Linked DNA regions of Danio rerio. The protein of the gene in region 2 interacts with the protein of the main gene of each other region in a pairwise test. Links are inferred from orthologs where the notes say so. Each region holds a gene or a part of one and is shown on either strand. Other genes may lie near its edges.

Evidence for each region. The genes of interacting proteins can lie anywhere in the genome.
Region 1: the proteins of srsf11 (region 2) and hyi interact in binary tests that used the Homo sapiens proteins (3 or more experiments, as listed by UniProt). The two-hybrid records come from large-scale screens. The link is inferred for Danio rerio from reciprocal best matches to the Homo sapiens genes SRSF11 and HYI.

Annotation. Positions count from the first base shown.
Region 1 is NC_133181.1:3,329,491-3,340,793, reverse strand, and holds the start of hyi (putative hydroxypyruvate isomerase), read left to right. Parts: upstream 1-3,932; 5' UTR 3,933-4,090; coding exon 4,091-4,289; intron 4,290-5,285; coding exon 5,286-5,397; intron 5,398-6,874; coding exon 6,875-6,989; intron 6,990-8,040; coding exon 8,041-8,119; intron 8,120-8,203; coding exon 8,204-8,253; intron 8,254-8,954; coding exon 8,955-9,024; intron 9,025-9,860; coding exon 9,861-9,995; intron 9,996-11,303. UniProt on the Homo sapiens protein: Catalyzes the reversible isomerization between hydroxypyruvate and 2-hydroxy-3-oxopropanoate (also termed tartronate semialdehyde).
Region 2 is NC_133186.1:47,577,660-47,588,458, reverse strand, and holds the start of srsf11 (serine/arginine-rich splicing factor 11), read right to left. Parts: upstream 10,360-10,799; 5' UTR 10,225-10,359; coding exon 10,100-10,224; exon of another isoform or gene 8,874-10,099; intron 8,770-8,873; exon of another isoform or gene 7,318-8,769; coding exon 7,184-7,317; intron 5,188-7,183; coding exon 5,078-5,187; intron 3,863-5,077; coding exon 3,773-3,862; intron 3,358-3,772; coding exon 3,308-3,357; intron 3,141-3,307; coding exon 3,007-3,140; intron 2,362-3,006; coding exon 2,280-2,361; intron 1,315-2,279; coding exon 1,201-1,314; intron 642-1,200; coding exon 552-641; intron 1-551. UniProt on the Homo sapiens protein: May function in pre-mRNA splicing.

The DNA.
Region 1 (11,303 bases), on a different chromosome or scaffold from region 2:
GAACCATGGAGCGGCATGGTGGCCTGTGTATGGTTTGCGTGTTCTCCCTGTGTTGGCGTGGGTTTCCTCCAGGTGTTCCGGTTTCCCCCACAGTCCAAACACATGCGCTATAGGGGGACTGAATAAGCTAAATTGATCATAGTGTATGTGTGTGAATGAGTGTTTGTGGATGTTTCCCAGGACTGGGTTGCAGCTGGAAGGGCATCTGCTGTGTAAAACATATGCTGGATAAGTTGGCGGTTCATTCCGCTGTGGCGACCCCAGATTCATTAAACACTAAGCCGAATAAAAATAAATAAGTATTAACAATGTTGTCCTTCTTCCTTTTTCCCCCCTTAATTTTTTATGCATTGTTTAAGTTTTTTTTTGTATTACAACTATGGTTAATTATCATCAGGGTTTGAAAAATATAAATAATTATTTTACATTGTAATTTTTAAGATATAATACAGTATATATTCATTTTAAAAATGAAATATTCAAATTTAAAAAAATATTAATAAATGTATAAATTGTTAAATGATAAATAAATAAATAAACATAAAAAGGGAAAAAATTATTACAAATGAATTAAAAAAAAAGTTCAAACTGAATCAAATAAGAAATTCTGAAGAGGTCAAAACAGAAGATATTTTCTTGCAAAACATATTCAATAAATATAGTATTATTTAGCACCATATATATATATATATAAAAAAAGTACATGTATATATACTCACCGGCCACTTTACTGGGTACACCTTTCCAACAGCTCGGAGGAGAATGGCCAGACTGGTTCCAGCTGATAGAAAGGCAACTGTAACTCAAATAACTGCTCGTTACAGCTGAGGTCTGCAGAAGAGCATCTCTGAACACACAACACGTCCAACCTTGAGGCGGATGGGCTACAGCAGCAGAAGAACACACCGGGTGCCGCTCCTGTCAGCTACAAACAGGAAACTGAGGCTACAATTCACACAGTCCACCAAAACTGGACAATAGAAGATTGGAGAAACGTTGCCTGCTCTGATGAGTCTCTATTTCTGCTGCAACATCCGGATGCTCGGGTCAGAATTGGGCATCAACAACATGAAAGCATGGATCTGTCCTGCCTTGTATCAATGGTTCAGACTGGTGGTGGTGGTATAATGGTGTGGGGGAGATTTTCTTGGCACATTTTGGGTTCATTAGTACCAATTGAGCATCTTGTCATCGCCACAGCCTACCTGAGTATTGCTGCTGACCATGTCCATCCCTTATGAGCACAGTGTCTCCATCTTCTAATGGCTACTTCCAGCAGGGTAACACACCATGTCATAAAACGTGTATCATCTCAGACTGATTTCTTAACATGACAATGAGTTCACTGTACTCAGATGACCTCCAAACTCCCCATATCTCAATCCAATAGAGAATGGGAGATTGGCATCATGGATGTGCAGCTGACAAATCTGCAGCAGCTGTGTGATGCTATCATGTCAATATGGAGCAAAATCTCTGAGGAATATTTCCAGTAGCTTGTTGAATCTCTGCCATGAAGTTCTGAAAGCAAAAGGTGGTCCAACCCGGTACTAGTAAGGTGTACCTAATAAAGTGGCCGGTGAGTATATCTTAGTGGTTTTCATTTAACGTGTATTTTAATTAATATATTTTTATATATGTTATACTAAATGATGTATGGGGGCACGGTGGTGCAGTGGGGAGCACAATCGCCTCTCAGCAAGAAGGTTGCTGGTTCTAGTCCTGGCTTGGTCAGTTGGCATTTCTGTGTGGAGTTTGCATGTTCTCACGGTGTTGGCGTGGGTTGCCCCCGGGTGCTCCAGTTTTCCCCACAGTCCAAAGACATAGGCTATAGGGGAATTGGGAAAGCTAATTTGGCCGTAGTGTATGCGTATGAATGAGTGTGTATGGATGTTTCCCAGTGTTGGGTTGCGGCTGGAAGGGCATCCGCTGTGTAAAACATGTGCTTTATAAATTGGCGGTTCATTCTGCTGTGGCGAACCAAGTTTAAGCCGAAAAGGAAATGAATGAATGAGTAAATGATGTAAAATACTGACTTGATTTGCTTTACATGAACTGAATTTGATGCAAACATGAGGGCAGCATATGTAATACGTGCATAATAATAAATAATAAGTCCAGAATATGTTAGTTCTCTATTTCAAACACTGCAAATATGAGGGAAAATGACAAGTGCAATCATCATAATCATGCATATTCCAGACAACATGCAACCATAATGACATGTAATGCTGTTCAAGTGGATCATAATGAAGTCTGTATGGAGGAAATCTGTGCTGTGGTGCATTAGTGAGAGTCTCTTCTTGAAGATGAAGATGGAGAGATGCAGATACTTTAATAAAGTCAGAATAACATGTTTCCATCAGTGGAGTTTTTAATATTCATGAGTGTATTTGAGTCCAGGTGCTTCATTAACCTCTGCTGACCTCCTCCATGCTGCTGCTGTATTGAATATTTACTATAAACCTCATGAAATGATACTCAAGACACTCGCGCAGGATTACATCACCTTCTGTCCCAGTGGCTATGAAAAAACACACAGTAGGTGTAAAACAATAACTCATGAATATGCATGAGTCTGCTTCATGTAGTGGCTGAACTGAGAATTAAAGGAATACATGAAGTTTGGACTCTAAGATCGTCTTTTAGGTGTTTGTATGGGTTTACTTCAGCAGCTGTCTGAACATATGCCGGCGACTAAAAGATTACAAACACTTACTTGAGCTCATTTTTAAAAAATAATGAATCAATTCACGACTGACATTGAAATATTATTTAAACATTGCGATTTAAAAAAAAAAAAGAAAAAAAAAAGGAAATTGATCTAAAAATCGAAACTAAAATTAAAGGTTATATAATTTAACAAAATATTTAGTGGAAATAAAAGGGAAAATGTAATTAAATGTAAAAATTTAAAGTAGAAGCTCATTCGTTTAATATATTACATTGTTTAACAAAGGGGTGTCCAAACTCCAAACTGGAGGTCCGGTGTCCTGCCGAGTTTAGCTTCAGCTTGACTCAACACATCTGCCAGGAATTTTCTAGTACAGTGAAAGCTTGAATAGCTGGCTCAGGTGTGTTTAATTAGGGTTGAAGCTAAACTCTTCAGAAAATAGGCCCTCCAGGACCGAGTTTGGACACCCCAGGTTATTTATTTATTTTTTTATTTTTTGTAATATTTTTAACGTATATAATTTAAATTATATAAATTATTATTAAAATGTAAATAATAAATATAATATAATATTTAAATAAAAATTTTATTTAAATAATAAATAATAAAAAGTAGAAATAAATATAGCTATAAATAAATGTATAAATAAATATTGAAAAATAGATGTTGTAATAAATATAAAGAATATATCTGAATGAATGAAAAAAACCCCAATATAATAATAAATTAAATATACATATACTAATTTAAATAATAATAATAATAATAATATATAGTAACAATCGCACCAAAAATGAAAACATTATTGATTTTTCTTTTCATTATAATTTTTTTGACTATTTATTTTACTATTTTGTTTGTTTTTTTGGTCCAATTTATATTTGAATACATTTAGAAATGTTTTATATAAATATACATAATAATTATAATTATTTATTCTATTAATTAACCATTTTTAAGTTAAGCAAACATATAGAGCTTTAAAAATTTAAAATTAAATTAAAAAATTAAAAATCGTTGCAATAATGGTACAATAAAATATAATATTAACATAAAAAAACAGATAAAAATAAAAGATTTTTAATTGCAGTATAACACAAATTCAGTGAAAGGAGAAATTCAAATAAACACAAAATGTACAGAACAGAGCAAAAATAAAAAATAAAATAATAAAAGAAATAAACAAATGATAAAACTAAAAGTAGGCTTAAATGCAAGATCCTCAAATGAGCCAATGCGCATGTGCGGAGAAGCACGTGACGTGCGTAGTCAGCTGATCGCTGAAGATGTAAACACAGTGAGCACGTGCTGATCAATAAACGCTGAACTTTGGTTATTCGGTTAGTTATTGGTTTCTTGTGTGTGTCAGAGTGTGTCATCGAGCTGCATGTGCTCGTCCTGCTGCAGACGTGTTTAATGGCGCCGTTAAAGTTCTGCGCGAATATCTCGTGGCTGTTCACGGAGCTGCCGGAGTTCCCGCAGCGGATGCGCGCCGCAGCGAGTGCGGGGTTCCGCGCGGTGGAGGCGGCCTGGCTCTACAACACCGACCTGAAAGAGTTAAAGACAGCCAAAGAGGAGACGGGGCTCGAGTTTGTGCTAATAAACACTCCTCCTGGTGAGAGAAAGAAACGCACGCACACACACGAGTGAACGACAGACAAACAGACGAGTGCATTGACGGATCCATAAACGGATAGATAGATGACTAGATAGACAAATAGATGGATGCTTGGGTCAAACTTTAGACAGATAGATAGATAGATAGATAGATAGATAGATAGATAGATAGATAGATAGATAGATAGATAGATAGATAGATACATAGATTGACGGATAGATGGATGGATGGATAGATAGATAGATAGATAGATAGATAGATAGATAGACGGATAGATAGATAGACGGATACATAGATTGACGGATGGACGGATGGATGGATGGATAGATAGATAGATAGATGGATGGATGGATGGATGGATGGATAGATAGATAGATAGATAGATAGATAGATAGATGGATGGATAGATAGATAGATAGATAGATAGATAGATAGATAGATAGATAGATAGATAGATAGACGGATACATAGATTGATGGATGGACGGATGGATGGATGGATAGATAGATAGATAGATAGATAGATAGATGGATGGATGGATGGATGGATGGATGGATGGATGGATGGATGGATGGATGGATGGATGGATGGATGGATGGATGACTAGATAGACGGATGACTAGATAGATAGATAGATAGATAGATAGATAGTTTGATAGATAGATAGACGGATACATAGATTGACGGATGGACGGATGGATGGATGGATAGATAGATAGATAGATTGATGGATGGATGGATGGATGGATAGATGGATGGATGACTAGATAGACGGATGACTAGATAGATAGATAGATAGATAGATAGATAGATAGATAGATAGATAGATAGATAGATAGATAGATAGATGGATGGATTCTTGGGTTAAACTATGGTTGGATGGATGGACGACTGGATGGATCACTATATTCAGATGACTAGATAGACGGATAGACACTTTAATTAAGTGCTGATAGTTATCATCAGTAATAATCAGCTGCTGTGTTCCCGCAGGTGACGCGTCAGCTGGAGATCTGGGATTGGCTGCTGTTCCTGGGAGAGAGCAGGAGTTCAGGCAGGGTTTGGATTTGGCTGTTCAGTACGCTAAAGCACTCGACTGCACGAGGTACGAGTGTGAGGATGTTTAATACTCTTCAGGAACACACTTCAGTCGACCTTCAGGGGTCACACATTTAACAAACACCAATTACATGTTCATAAAGGTTCATGAAACCCTCGAGTACTTTTTCTGAGATGTTAACAGAATTGTGTTTGTTGAGCATCAGTTAAGGCAATGTTGGCACCTGTCAGCTGTAATTGTGGGGTAAACTGGATAATTTGGAGCATTTGTCAGTTTGTCAGCTTTTGTCGGTTTCTCATTATTATTCATAGCGGAGTTTTCTTATCCTATGAGAAGAGCCGGCTTCTTAATTATTCATGCCTGCACGTGCTTTACGAAGACAAGGCAGACCTGCCAGTGCCAAGCTCTGAGACACAAACACACAGCACACAGTATTCATCCATTCATGAAGGGTTGTGTGTCTGTTTCCCCGCGATGCTGTCAGGATCGATACAGCAGAGCTGTTTGTGTGCAGCAAGCATTTTTGTCAGGAGAGCAGTACGAGTATGACAGAGAATTGTGGACTTTGTCCTTTATCAGGAGTTCGTTCACATTTAGACACATCACCGTGCTGCTGTGTTTGCCTAAATCCTCCAGATTACCAACAGGGCTAATGGTTAAAATAGGCAGGGCAAGAGAGTCTGCATTCAGACCCGGGGATTGAGGGAGAAGTCATCATTTATAGTGTTTATATGAACATGCTTATCTTTAAAATGATATAAATTGTGGTTATCTGTATATGAAATTACAAATAACAAATGTAGCTGAGCATTAAATTACCGTTTGTTTCTTTGCATTTTAACTTTGTTAGCTATAAAGTCATGCGTCTCCTCATGGTTTGTGTCTCATTTTGTGAGCCGACTGACAACAGTTGTTCGCTCCCCTCCTTCTCCCCTGCTGGCCACGCCCACTCTTGCCCTTTGCTCACAGAGCTCCACGCCCATTATCATGCATCTTTTGAAAAAATTCTGAGGTAGACTTGAACCGAAAGTGGGGGGTGTCATGACCCTTTAAAGCCCTGTCCACACAAGCATGAGTATTTTCAAAAATGCACTTTTTTTCTACACATTTTTACTGTTTGTCCACACAAAAAGGGAGTATTGGCTGACTGAAACTCAAGCTTTCTGAAAACTCCGACCATACAGAAATCCAAATCAATATTTATTCAGAGATTTGCATGGAAGAGCTCACTTTTCCTGCTTTGTCTTTTTGTTGTCTGGTTAGGACTCAAATGAACAAAACACAGCAGCAATAACAGTCCTTCAGCTGATTTATATTCACAGTGGACTGCTGGATGTTCCACTCATATTATATAAAGCATAAAACAAGCGCATACTGAAGCTGCTGTGAGGAAGACATGAAGCTTTACTTACTGAAATGTTCAGATTTGTGCTGAACTGTTCTTGCTGAAGCTCTGAGGTGTGTTTTCTCCATCGGTGGAGCATGAGGATGGTGTATATGTGATGTTCATGTGTGTCTCCAGGATTCACTTGATGGCTGGCAGGGTCCCGGCGGGGTCTGAACGCTGCGCTCTTGCCCTGCAGATGGAGGATACGTTTGTGCACAATCTGAAGCATGCAGCAGGTGTGCTAGACAAGGTGACCTTTGACCCCCTTAAAATTTCTAAATCAAAATTATAGAATCCAAATCTAAGTCATTAGAAATCCAATTCAAAATCTACAATTAAAAATCAAAATTGTAAAATTCCAAATTTAAATTTACAAAAAAAAAAAAAAAATTTAGAATTCCAAATTCTAAAGTTACAAAAATATATATATTTTTTGAGATTTCCAAATCTAAATTTTAGAGTTAATAATCAAAGTTTTTGAATTCTAATTTTAAGTTTTGAATTCTAAATTAACATTGTTGAATTCCAATTCAAAATATTAGAATTCCAAATCTAAATTTACAAAAAAATTTTTTTTTAAATTCTAAATCTAAATTTAATTCCAAATTTAAATTTTAGAAATATTAATCAAAGTTTTTTAATTCTAAATTAACAATGTTGAATTCCAAATCAAAATATTAGAATTCCAAATCTAAATTTACAACTAAAAATCACAATTTTAGAATTCTAAATCAAAGTTTTAGAATTCCAAATCTTTATTTAAGAATAAAAAAACTAAAAAAATAAATAAAAATTAAATTAAAAAATTTGAAATCAAAAGTTCAAAGTCCAAATTTTAATTGACTGCAGTCTTGTGTTCTTAGGTCTTACATATTTTTAAAAATTATTTATTTATTATTATTTACAGCATAAAATAATATATAACATAAATGAGTATATATAAATATCATTGTAGTCTTCCTCCAATGCTTACTGAAATACTCCTACAGTGCTTGAAACATTTGTTTTGTTTTTGATTTCGTGATGTTGTAACTCTCCACCGGGTCTCTACATTTAATACCGTGGTTTGGCTGGATGGTTTTGATGCTGTAATTTAGTGTAAGGCTGAATTTGAGAGCTTTTAAAACGATACTATACTATATAACTCTTCAATGCTGCTAATTTGATCAATAATCACTAAAAACTCTTTTACTTACACCTAACTTTTAGTACCTGTAGGTCACATATTTTGCAAAAAAAAAAAAAAAAAACGATCAAAAATTGTCTTCATCGCCCAAAAACAGTTTGTCTTTGCTCTTCAGGAAGGTCTGCTTGGTCTGATTGAGCCGATCAACAGCAGGATCACAGACCCACGATATTTCCTGCACTCTCCACATCAGGGTCAGCACTCTCTCACACTGAACATTGAGTGTGTGTTTTCTGATTCTGGATCATTTACTGATGTTTTATTGTGTTGGTGTGTAGCTGCTGAGATTCTGCAGAGAGTGGATCATCCCAGCATCAAGATGCAGATGGTTAGTTTTCTCATATTTCTCATATATTAGTCTGTCTGTCTGTCTATCTATTGTTCCATCCATCCATCCATCTATCTATCTATCCTTCCATCCTTCCATCCATCCATCCATCCATCCATCCATCCATCTATCTATCTATCCTTCCATCCATCCATCCATCCATCCATCCATCCATCCATCCATCCATCCATCCATCCATCTATCCTTCCATCCATCCATCCATCTATCCTTCCATCCATCCATCCATCCATCCATCCATCCATCCTTCCATCCATCCATCCATCCATCCATCCATCCATCCATCCATCCATCTATCTATCTATCTATCTATCTATCTATCGATCTATCTATCTATCTATCCTTCCATCCATCCATCCATCCATCCATCCATCCATCTATCTATCTATCTATCCTTCCATCCACATCCATCCATCCATCCATCTATCTATCCATCTATCTATCTATCTATCTATCTATCTATCTATCTATCTATCTATCTATCTATCTATCTATCTATCTATCTATCTATCTATCTATCTATCTATCTATCTATCTATCTATCTATCTATCTATCTATCTATCTATCTATCTATCTATCTATCCATCCTTCCATCTATCTATCCATCCATCCATCCATCTGCAGAAAACACACCTCAGACTCTCCATACACTGACTGTTCTTGTCTGCTTCTGCTGTTGTAGGACATCTTCCACTGGCAGATCATGGATGGAAACTTAACTCACAATATACGGAGATACTTACCAATGACAGGTAAACCTCACCGTTACTGCGGTAATACATAATCCTGCTGCAGTCTGTCTCAACCTAACAGACGTTATATTTCAACATCTTTACTATTAATAATTTTTAACATTCAAAAGTATTATTTTGATGAATTTTAGTAGTAGCGATTTGGCATTTTTACTTTATTTTGTAGAAAACTGAATAAAGAAAGTTTATTTTAGTGTGTGTGTGGGTATATATATATATATATATATATATATATATATATATATATATATATATATATATATATATATATATATATATATATATATATATACACACACACACACACATATATACACACATATATACACATATGCACAAACACCACAACAATAAAATAATAAAACATTTCTGTTTAAATTTCTACAAAATAAAATAAAAATGTCAAAATATTTCCTATATTTACAATATTAACATTCTAAGTTTGTATTTTTGTTGAACATTTTGTAGTAATATTTTGTCGATGTTCTGTGTTTATTTCAAGTTTTGTTTAACTGTCTTTGGTTATTTTAGTTTCGAACTTGAATACAAATTAGAGAAAAACAATACATTTTTGAGTAAAAACAGGCTCAGGTTTGATTTTTGTTGTGCTTTTTTACTATATTTTATCATGTTTATTGTTTGTTTTAGTATTCCAGCCTATATTAACAAAAAATAAATGCAATTATTTTGTTATATTAAGAATAAGACCATCGTTTTTTTTTTTGCTTGTCTACAAAATGCTTTTAAATTATATTGTTATATTGTTATATTACTTTATTATACTTTCTGTTTTCCAGTTTTATTATTACTTATTGATTATTATTATTTTGCATCAGGCCACATCCAGATAGCTCAGGTTCCGGATCGGCATGAGCCAGACAGCCCTGGAGAGCTCAATTTCTCCTTCATCTTCAGACTGCTGGAGGAGCTCGACTATCAGGGCTTCATCGGCTGCGAATACAAGCCTCAAGGTCACTTCACTGATTATGAGTTTTAATATTGATCATATATGATTTAATGATGAACATTTACAGTAATACTATAATAGGAATAAAAAAAAGGCAGAAACAAATGTTCATTTTAGTAAAAACACAATAATGAATGTGTAATATAATAAAATATATTATATTATAATAAAAATAATATAATATCATATAAAATAATAATAAAAATAATATAATATAATACAATATAAAATAAAATATAAAATAATATATCATATAAAATAATATGATATAACATAATATAATAAAATATAATATAAAATAATATAATATAATATAATATATAAAATCTTATAACGTAATCATTTCTTTTTTAGTTTTGTTTTTTAGCCAGTAAAGTAAAAAAAAAATTTATTAGTCCAAATGTGATTTACTTTTTGATTTGCTTAAATACTTTAATATTCATATATGTGTTAGATAAATAATCAGTATATTATGACTTTTTAATGATTAACATTTTATGTAATATTGTCAATGGAATAATAAACAATAAATAAAAAGTTTTGTTTTTTAACCAGTTAAGTTTTTTTTTTATTTGTGTAAATGCGTTAATATTAATATGTGTTAATTATTATATGATGACATTTTAATGATGAACATTTTGTAATATTATCATAAGAGTATTAAACATTACAGAAACAATTTTGCATTTTGCTAACAACAACATAATATTATTAATAATAATTAGTTTATCATTATTATTATTATTATTATTATTATTAATATTATATTTTAGTTGTTGTTTTTTAAACCGGTAGAGTTCAATAATGTTTTATTAATCTAAATGTCATTTACTTTTTGATTACTTTATACTTTAATATTCATCAAAATCATTAATCTGAAAAGATTCTGATGTTGTAAACCAACTTATGATCAGCTCCTTAGATATTCATATTCATTTAATTTGAGGGTGTACTATATTTATCTGTTTTTTGTGATATTTCTGGTATGTTTTTGGTTAAATGTCTTTATAGTTTGTAGCGTAATCAGTTTAGTTCTTCATTTGTTTTTAATTTTCAAAATAAAATGAATTTAAAAACACCAAAACAAAACATCTATGAGATCTTGTTAACAGGTCTACTGCACACAAACCAAGACCAAAGATCAACATCTAAATAGAAATGAAGTTGCACAAAGTGAAGTGACGTACCAAATACAATTCCTTTAAAAAAAATGTTAATGTGTTTAAAAAACAAACAAACAAACAAACAGCTGTAAATCCTCATGGCTTCATTTCCAGGCTTTGCTGTTCATTAGCTACACAGAGGATTGTGA
Region 2 (10,799 bases):
CTGTGCCAAAGAAAATCCTAATTTAAAGTGTTTTGGGTAAATTCATCAAAAGTAGTGCTAAAGAAATATAATAAATAGAAATAAGGACAAGTTTCTGAATCATTAAACAAAACAAAAGCTTTCATCATATCAGATTTATCACTATTTTACAGTCGAATTCAAATATTATTTTATACAATCTAATTTTCCTGTTTATATTTCAATAGTAAACAAATTGTTGATAAATTAAAAGGAATTTCCATATGCAATTTAATTTTAGTTTGATTGATTAGGCTATCAACAGTTTAAAAAAATTAAATCATTAATTAAAAGACAAACATAAAACATTCGCAGAAAACCTCTAATGTTAAATAGCTCTACATTAAAGCGTGTAGGAAATCATTTTCTTACTAAATCTAATGAAAAGCACAGAATTTGGCTCTGAATTTGGAAAACTGAACTTTAAAATCTTAAATGGCAACTTTTATTATTATTTTAATGAATTAGAATGTTTTTGGCGATTCTAAAAACTCAAAAGAGAAGTTAATAAACACTCAACAGTCCAGACTGACCGGCTGGTGCTGCGGGAGCGTCTGGCGCTGCTGTAGCTCTTGGGTGGAGTTTTGGACCGTTTCCTGTACTTTTCATCCTTCCTTCGATCTCTACATCAGAAACAAACCAAACATCTGTGAGGAAACAAGCCAGCATCTCTCCACAATAACCCTGGAGACACCTGAGTGCCTCAATAGAGGACTAGAGATGAAAAGCCTTTATAAAAAAAAACATTTTTATACAACTATTATAGTGAGCAGAATTATCTACAGTTATCAATATAAATCAATCAGTTTTCATAAAATGACATTCAAATTTACAGATTTTTTTTATTTCACGTTGATTAATTTTTACATTCAACAACTTAACACAAATGTTTATAAAATTTTGTGTTGTAATTTATTGAAGCTCACGTCACAAAATAAAAGTAAAAGCAAACAATAAGGAAAAACTATTTCTATTTTTAGAATTAAAAACAACGTGAACTGCTGGCATAACTGTTATGATTTTGCTTTGTTACGTGCAGCAGAAACATGCCATCGTGGAGCCTTAATGGTTTATTAACCCTAAGTGAATAGTGTAGTTATTAAAAGTATTACAGTTAATTAAACAGAGTTATTGTCTGCATCCCTAGCTGACACACCCGAGGACTGACTGACAGACACTGACCTGGACCTGGAGCGTCTGCTGCGGTCTCTGGAGTGAGATCTCCTCCTGCGGGGACTCTTGGACCTCCTCCTGCTCCTGGAGCGAGATCTCCGCCTGGAGTGACTCTTGGAGCGCCTGCGGTCACAACATCATCATAGTAAGCCAAAACTAAAGCTGATTTTTCACCCCAAAGACTTCCGTTCATATGCACGTGAATGTGTCAGACTGGAAATGCAAGCTCATGCGACGAGTTTTGCAGTTCGCTGTGTTGCAAAGTTTAAGTTTGGTGAACTCTGATCTGTGAAATCGCATCACTGCATGAGACCAATCGAGGATCCAAACATGTCCTCTCTGCACAGAAATGTAAAATATGGAGCAATCGCTCGCTTTAAACATCTAATCATCTTGTTTGATCCCGGCCCTTTTCCTGGCGCAGTATGACAATTTCACACACACAAACTCCAGCGTGACCGCAGCTCAAGACTAAAGCTATTGGTCAAAAGCAGGAGAGCTCAAACAAAGCGTCCTGCAGAGTTCAGTTACAACCCAAACACCTTAATCAGATAGTCAAGCTCTTTATAGGTAGACTAGAAAATTATAGGGCAGATGTGTTGAATATGAAGGGACAGCAGCTCTCAAGGATCCAGTTTGGTCAACCCTGGTCTAAAGACATTTTCATTAACTGAAACATTGACCTTCTCATGTTTTACTTAGTGAACATTATAAAATACTAAACACCCTCTCTCTATATAAACTTTGTTTTTTAATATGAAGTTTTTCTGAATTCTTTATCATTTAATGAATTTCTATTCATGGCATTTGTGAGGTTTTGCATGGTTTAAATACTAAATGTTTTGCACAAAAGTGAATGTAAACATGTTCTGTGCACTCTGATAAACGACAACTACTAACACTAAACTAAATGCATAACTAAAACAAACAGCCATTATTGGAATGAACAAAAACTCAAGCGTACAGCAAACCTAAAAATACTACCAAAATAAAACTAATTCACAAATGCAAAACTACAATAACCTTGCTGTGCTCACAATTTATTCAGATTGGCCCAAATTTCAGCTCAAACTGCGATTAAGACAGACCTGTGTCTGGAGCGGGACCTGGATCTCCTGCGTCTGGATCTGGACCTCGATCTCGAGCGCTTTCGTTTATCATCCTTCTTACCTAAAGAGAAGCAGACACAATTTAGTGTAGCATCCTTCAATATTTACATGAGCAGAATGTCTGATGGGTCACTAGCCGTTTCAAACCACCCATCTTCATGCATATTTTGGAATATTGCAGTAAACAAAACTTACATGTTTAAATATATGAACATATCTAATAATTAAAAACACAGAAGTCTGCTGTGAACAGCTTTAGTGAATAAACTGTGTATGCACTTCATCAGTAGTTTCTGACAGATGCTGATCATATATTAATGTGTGTGTGTGTGAGGGTGTTTGTGTCTCTAATGTTGGTTTTCAGCTCTCCACTGTTGCGGATGTGAGATGTTGTTCAGACACTTAGCCCTCCATCAGTCCGTCATCACAGTGCTTTAGCATTATTCTTCTTTTATTATTATTATTCCCTCCAGAACTGTCTTGAGCATCTGTCTGTGCTCTTGTCTCCACCACATTCACTGCGTCCATTGCATGTGGTGTTCTGAGGCACAGCTCATGTATTAAAGAACAAACAGCACAGTGGAGAATCCCAACAGTGCAGCAAACTACACTTCTCTCAGCAATATCTGTGCAGTTTCTCGCTGCAATATTCCAGTTTGGTGCATGAATCTAATTCTCATCTTCGAGTGGAAACACAGTTACTTACTTCCAGGCTCGATGGCAGCAGAGATCAGAGATTGCGCCTCTCTCACTCTCTTCATGGCTTCTTCAATCTCTTTATTGGAGGCGTCTGCCTTCAGTCCAGGGGTCAGATTGAGCCCAGCGGCCAGAGGATTCAATCTGCAACAACACACAATAAATAGATGATTTAAAACAGAGTACATTTTCATATTTGGGTGAACCCTCCCTTTAATGCTCCATTTAATAAATACTATATATGTGGATTATTTTTAAAATTAAAATCACACAAAATGCATGATTGCAGATGAGGTGTTTGATGAACTTACTTGGGGTCTATTGATGCCATGAGCTTCATGAGCTGCTCAGCTGACAATGACTGAGAAGAAAAACATCAAGCATGAGTCAAAGAGTCCTGCTGCATAAACAGCTTCATGATTTGTGAGTCAGTTATGCAAAATTATAAATGATGAATTTTACAACACATTTAAGACTGACTAGCTAACTGAAACTAAAATGAACAACTTACAACCAACGTAATAGAGTTTACTTGCGCTTGTAGAAAAAAGGCCTTTGATATTTAAGAGTATATTTACAATGCAAATGAATTATGAGGGGAAAAAAAGTTTATTACATTGAAAATTTTATTAATCATTCAATCATCAAAAGAGTTCAAATAATCAAGGCATTGATATGCGTCATATCGTCCAGCCTTTAGCACTTAACATTAGCCATTTCTGTACAAAGGCTAGATGAGGTCTGGCCATTATTGAAGGAATGGAAAATGGTCAAACCTGTGGGTTTATATTGGGTGCTGCCATGGCCAGAGCTGCCATCGGGTCCAAGTTTGGTCCTCCAAGACCGCCGAGAGGGACGCCACCAATCTGACAAGACAAAGCACACGAGCATCACTACAGTGCAAGGAGGACCATAGACTGATTTCACGAGGCGGACATTTTAAACAGCGAAATCGAGGCTGCGGTGGAAGAAACCTGGAAGTATCGTCTGAGTCAGAGAGGAATTTTGTCTACCTGACTGTATATCTCATCAGCGAAGAGAAAGTGACACAAATTTACCATTTCACCACGTTCCAAGTGATCTGAAGATCCGTTCTGAATGAATAGTGAAAATAAAAAGGGATATCAAAGCTCATTTTCAGCTAAGTTAAGGGAAATGAAACTAGTTAGCTAACGTTTTCTTTTCCAAACGCACGTTTTAGATGCCTTTTATCAACCTTAAGTTAATGAACGGATTCTTTCACTATATAAGACAAAACTTCAGTACTGAAACGTAAAAAAATATTTTAAAAAGGCCATATCCCATTAACATTTAAGCACTGTTGATGGCGTTCTTAAACACTGCTGATTTGCCATGGTGTTCACGTGCTCAACAGAAATGACTGTGATTGGCCGTGAAGGTCATCAGTTCACTGATGTTTACCGAGTACAAACACAAACAAGCAATCTACTGATAAATCGACCGATCTTCACGGCTTGAAAACGCTCCAATGTCTATCTGTGTTAGCAATCGGTGAAGAGCGGTGAACTGATGACCTTCACAGCCAATCACAGTCATTCCAGTTGAGCACTGGTGAACACTATGGCAAATCAGCACAGTTTATGAACTCGGCGGCGCTTAAATGTTAGCGGAAATGGACCTTTTAAAACTTCAGTACCGGGACAACACTGCTACAGACAACACGAAGGTGTGTTACAGAGGACTGCATGGTTTTATTGCTCACCGGGTTACATAGACTGAAACAGGGAAGCGTCCCCATGGTGTTTACCTGCTGCCATGAACTGAAACCTAGGAGGACACTTACTCTTAAAGAGATTGTGATGTTGTTTGATGCCTAATCTGCTGTTAATTGTTTAGATTAAACTTACTGCATGATATTAAAGTGATGTTTACACCATTTCTGCATTTTGCAATTTATGGCAACAGCTGGAGGTTTGTAGTTCACAGCATGTTGCTGCAATGTTTACAGTGCTGATGCTATACTCCCGGGTTCCTTCCCACCGCTGCCTCGCTTTCGTGTTTTAAAATGGCGATCGCCTGAAATAAGCATATAGCCTCGGGTTACAGAGATTGACACTCACAGATGGGACGGGGTTGGGTGTGGGGAGGAGTCCGCCTCCTGGAAGCAATCCTGCAACGGCATTGGCCGGAGCAAGCAGAGACATAGCCTTGGACTCATCAGGAATCACTCCTGCAGAACAGAAACACACAGTTAAAGCACGCCGCGGCTCTCCACGCACACACAGACAGACCCACAAACTCAAACTTTCTTTTTTTTTGCAAGATAATGTGCACTGACATCAGTACTCACTTTGCCAGAGCAAGCTAACACATGAGGTCCCTTAACAATAGCATGAAGTGCACAATACTACAAGAAAAGAAATGACACTAGACACACTGCCAAGATGTTATCACCTGAACTTGATTTTTTAAGTCATGAACCAAATGTAAGCAAGCACAGCCGGATCTCCACTGGGATGTGCTCTCAAGTTTCATAAGTTGTATAATGAACAAGCGATTCAGGTCGGCTGCTTCGCTATAAAGCACACAGAGACATCAAGATAGACAAAACAGAGTTTATGATTTGGGTGTCAGCATTAAATGACAGTTCATTAAACCACTGATGCTGTGACTTACCAGAACTAACACAAAAATAAAGACATCAAGGGGCTTTTGCTGGTATTCCAGAGCTAAAGCTGCCTTTACCTTTGGTAAACTTTGACACAGATATACAACAGAAAGGACCTCTTCCAGCAAAAGCCCGTTTTAAACTTAACTACAGACTGTGTGTGTGTGTGTGTCAAAAAGTGCTGAAGAGAAAAATAACTAGAGTTAAATGACAAATGAACGTTTGGTGAGTGCATGGAGTCCATTGGGTGAACGCCTCTGAAATTAATACTTCACTCCAAAGACACAATCATCACTGACACACACACACACACACACACCAGAGAGAGAGAGAGAGAGAGAGCTGAGAGAGAGAGATAGAGAGAACATATGAGAGAGAAACAGGACAAGCTGCAGAAGACAAAACTGTTGGGTGGCATTTTCTGCTGGGCCTGGTTTACAGGACTTGCAGAACCAGGGAAAAGAACTGGAAAACACAACAACAAAAAACAGAAAACGACCGTTAAAAAGCTTCTCAGGCCTTTTCAGTCATGTGGAGAGGAACAAAAGAACATTCTCAGACTGTTTCTTACTCAAAAAGCTGAAAATACTGGAGGGAGATTGGACAAATCATCACATACGCGCAGGGAAAGCCCTGCGTTCAGCTATCATTACGCTCTTGCCAAGCGCTGCTTCTCCTCACATATACATGTGCAAAAGACTCATGCAGAAATGCGCTACATCTCATCTTACCGTGGATTATCTCGTGTCTGATTAGCATGCAGTTCAATCAGAGGATTTGAGGCTAAACATTAGTGCTTTGCAAGAAAAGACGGATCGATCTTTGTCTGTGAGCTCAATTGAATTGAATGGAGACACAAGAGAGGATTATAGTTTACAGCAGGGAAACACACGTGGGCCGCCGCTTTTATTTGTCTACAGGGCAGCAGAGGGTCACTCTCAGACATCTGCCGGCTCTGCAATTGCCTTGTTCACTATAAAAATCACACACACAGATGACAAAGAGAAAAGTTTAACAAAAAAAATGAAACTAAACTGGAAAGGCAATGAGTTAAACATGAGCTCGCCTGCCACGCAGGGCGTCTAATCCCCAACATTTCTCAAATATTCACCTGAGTGCATATACAGTCTTAGGGCTCATTCACACTGAACACGTCTTTGCTTTTAAACACACGCGCGGGGAAAAACTAAACTAAAGACGCAGCATTAAAACACAACTTTAAACAAACTTGCAGCAGCAGTCCCACTTCTCAACTCTTCTGATTGGTCCACTGCTTTGAAACTGACATTAACAAGCAGCGCTGCATCTACAATTTCAACTGCTTATAACTTGACAAAAAAAGAAGAGTAACGATCACACACATCCATCAAGTGCGCCTTTACATCGAAAACACAAAAAGCAGAGCACTTTAAAAGAAACGCGTTCTGTGTGAATGTCCCCATACTGCGTTCAGGTGTGTGTGACGGCCGCTGGAGTTCACTGCACTAAAGCCGTCATCAACACTGCGAAGGGATTGATTACGTGTAACATTTAAAAACAATAAAGGAGTGGCACAAACCTTCAGCAAAGGGGACGACGATCAGCGCTCGGTCCACGAAGACTGTGTTCGTCAGATGCTGCGATACTCCGACTGACTCCGGCTCGTGGAACTTTACAAAACATACACGTGAAGTCACAGGCAAGGGAGAATCACTGAAAGAAAATATAGAAGCTTTTGCAAGGTGTACACACACAGTTCACACACACGCACGCACAGAGCAGTGAAATATTCACGTTTGGCTCGATTTGATTTGATCCGGCTCAGTTTTAGATCTGCCGGCTTCAGATCCAGCAGCGTCCTACCTTCACTGCAGATATGAGGAGGCCTGATGTTTTTCGATGGGTGAAAAACAACAAAAGCACAGAACAAGTTACTAATTACAAGCTACTGAAAAACCCTGCCTGACTGAGTAGTGACGTCTCAGAGAGTGCATTTCTATTTCTACACCTAAGAACAAGCCATGTTTAGCTCACAGTACACTTAATTTTACATCTTTTTACAACCTTTAATTAGTGTTTGCAAACTTACATATGTGACCCCAGAACAGAAAATCAGTCATAAGTGCATATATAAGATATGCATTCTCAAAGCTGAATTAATATGCTTTCCATTAACGAATACAGGTTAATGTACTTATAAAGTACAGCATTTAATAATTATAGTTTCAATTTATTAATCGTAGTACAAAATAAATTCATGCTTGTTTACTTTAGTTAATGCAGTTAACATGAACTAACAATGAACAATATCGTAATGAATATATTATTCATTGTTTGGTTATGTTAGCAAATACATTCATGCAAACTTATTATAAAGTGTTAATGATTTTACAAACATTTGGGTGAGATAAAACTATTAAAAAAGCAGGTAACTGAGGGCTTAAAAACATAAATTAAAAGTGTAAAGTTGTCCAAAATAAATTTTTACCAATGTTTATTAATCATCACAACTGGAGTGGATATATTTGCAGTGTAAAAATTATTAAAAACATTTTATTAAAATATGATCTTTACTTAATATTCTAATGTTTTTTGGGAGAAAAATACATTTCTAACCTATACACTGCATTTTTTGCAAAGACTGGTTCTATGGTCCAGGGTCACCATATAGGTAGGGTTGGGCGATTAAAACAAAATCACAACCCTGATTTAGCAAAAGCTGTGACCAATGCCGTTATGCCCAAATACCTTTCATTTGATGTAGATACACATCCCTACATAATCATCCGAAACCATCTAAAATGTTTCATTTGTTTGAGTCATGGGAAATTGTATTAATATCGCAAATAGAATTTTCAGTCTTTACCAATAGTGTGCAGGCTGCACAACAGCAATGTTGTAAACTAAATATTTTCAGAGCTAGCCTTTACATTGCAGGCTTAATTACTGTACTATTAAAATGTGAATAGAAGCCTGCTTTCTTCAAAGTTCCCTTTCAGTTGTTTAGAGTAGGGTTGTCTCTTCTTTGCCTTGCACCAGTAAATCTGCTCTAAATCTGCTCTAAAGTCTATCACATCCTTTAACAATGAAATGCAAACTAAACCAAATCAACAAAATTACTACAAAAACTATAATAAAATAGGCAATGCGCTTGACATATTTAACCTGCTCCACAACTATGAAGCTTTATATATCAAATATATAATATATATTTAGTACATACTTTTATTACATAAGTTTTATTATATTATATTATAGTTTTATCAAACTATATAATAAAATAGGCAACGCGCTTGACATATTTAACCTGCTCCACAACTATGAAGCTTTATATGTCAAATTACTGTAAAATGTTCATCAGCTTTAAAGCGAGATCACAAAAAAATAAGCAAATAATTTAGTAGTAAATCTACTCATTTACTCTCCCCCAAGATTGAGATGATGTTGATTTTATATTTGCACATTTAAAATTTTAAAAATAGTAAAGTAGAATTGATTAAAACTGATTAATTAGCATGCAGTTATGAGTATTGTATTTGAAACTAATGCATTGTTTAAAAATAAAAGCTGATAACCACATCTCTATGGAAAGTCTGTATATTGTTGATCAGGCTACTTTGAATACAGAATCTGAAATTACATGCCAGTATAAATCAGAACATTAGCACTATTTCATCCACTGCGAACAGTGTTGTACTTTGATAGTCACTGGCTGTTAATATGATTTTACTATTTAGAATTAGAAAAAAAAAAGCTTTTCTGAAATTATACTAAGTAAAATATCTAAATGTGCAAACATAAAACCAAATTTACCACAACCCCACAAGTGCTTCCAAACCAGCAGGGGTTTATTACATATTTCTGTTATCCTAAACATTAAATACAATATTCATCATCAATGGTTACAGGCTTCCAGCTTTATCGGAAATACTTGTTTAACAGAAGAAGCTAAACTTTGAAAACACTTGAGGAAGAGTAGATAGTAGGTACATTTACATTTGTGTATGAACAACCTGCATTATATACAGACAGCGCTATTAAAAACAACCACAACTAGATTGTATTGTAATGAAAATCTGGTGATTATAACAGTAACACAACTAAAGCAACAACTGTTAACACAAAGTGTGTATCAAACACGTGCACACGAAAACTGAACTGTGCGTCGACGCAGATTTACGTGCGTGACGTCACGCGTCTTCACGTAACAAAGTAACGACATTAAATTGTACAATGACCATAATAAACATCGCGTGTGAGTGTACAAGTCAACTTAATACACACAACGCAGAAAATATGAAGACAAATACACTAATAGTCGGTTAACAGCTCCACCAGAAGAGTGTGCGCGTTCACTGTGGCGGAAACGGATCGAGTGTGAATGGGTGTGCTAATATTCGACCTCAATCTGCACGAACGAGCAGAATAATGAACATTTGTGTACAGAAATGTGTGCAGTTTCCCCCAGTGTTTGTGAAAGCTGTGTTTGACTCACTCTGGAGGGAAGAGTCTGAGCTCGTCGATGCTGCCGATGAAGCCGAACAGAGTCCTCATCTGCTCGGCGGTGCTGCTCGGAGACACGTTCGTCACCTGGATCACGCTGGTGCTGCTGGACGTCATTTTCCTGGATCAGCGACGGTAAATATGCATCCAAATCCGCGATTTTGCCTCGATCTGTCCTCCGTGGAGTGGATGAAGTGTGTCGCGGCCTGCTCCTCACGCGCGCATCACTGCGGATCTGTAATGGCGCTCGGGTTGCTGTGTGAAGCGCGCGCTTACAAGAACATGGCGGCGTGTGCGGCAAATTTCAAAATAAAGGCTTTGCGTAAAACACGGGCCGGAAGATAACCATAGTTTATAACAGTGGTTCTCAAACTTTTTTCACCAAGTACCACCTTAGAAAAAATTCGTCTCTCCAAGTACCACCTTACGACGCTATTTTTTAACCAGTATTAAAAATGGCGTCATAGGCCTAATTAAGCAGCTACAGGTGTTCACAGTTTAAAAACGATGCAGATTAATTCCTATTATTAAGAATATGTATTATTATCAGTCACTTTAAACATTTGAAATAGTCTGAATATTAACTGTGCTTGCAGATTAAAAAAAAAAAGTTTTTGTTAAAATGTGCTTTTAAAAGTTCATTTAAAAATGGTGTTGTTCTTAAAAAGTAAAAAAAAAAACTGCTGTACTTA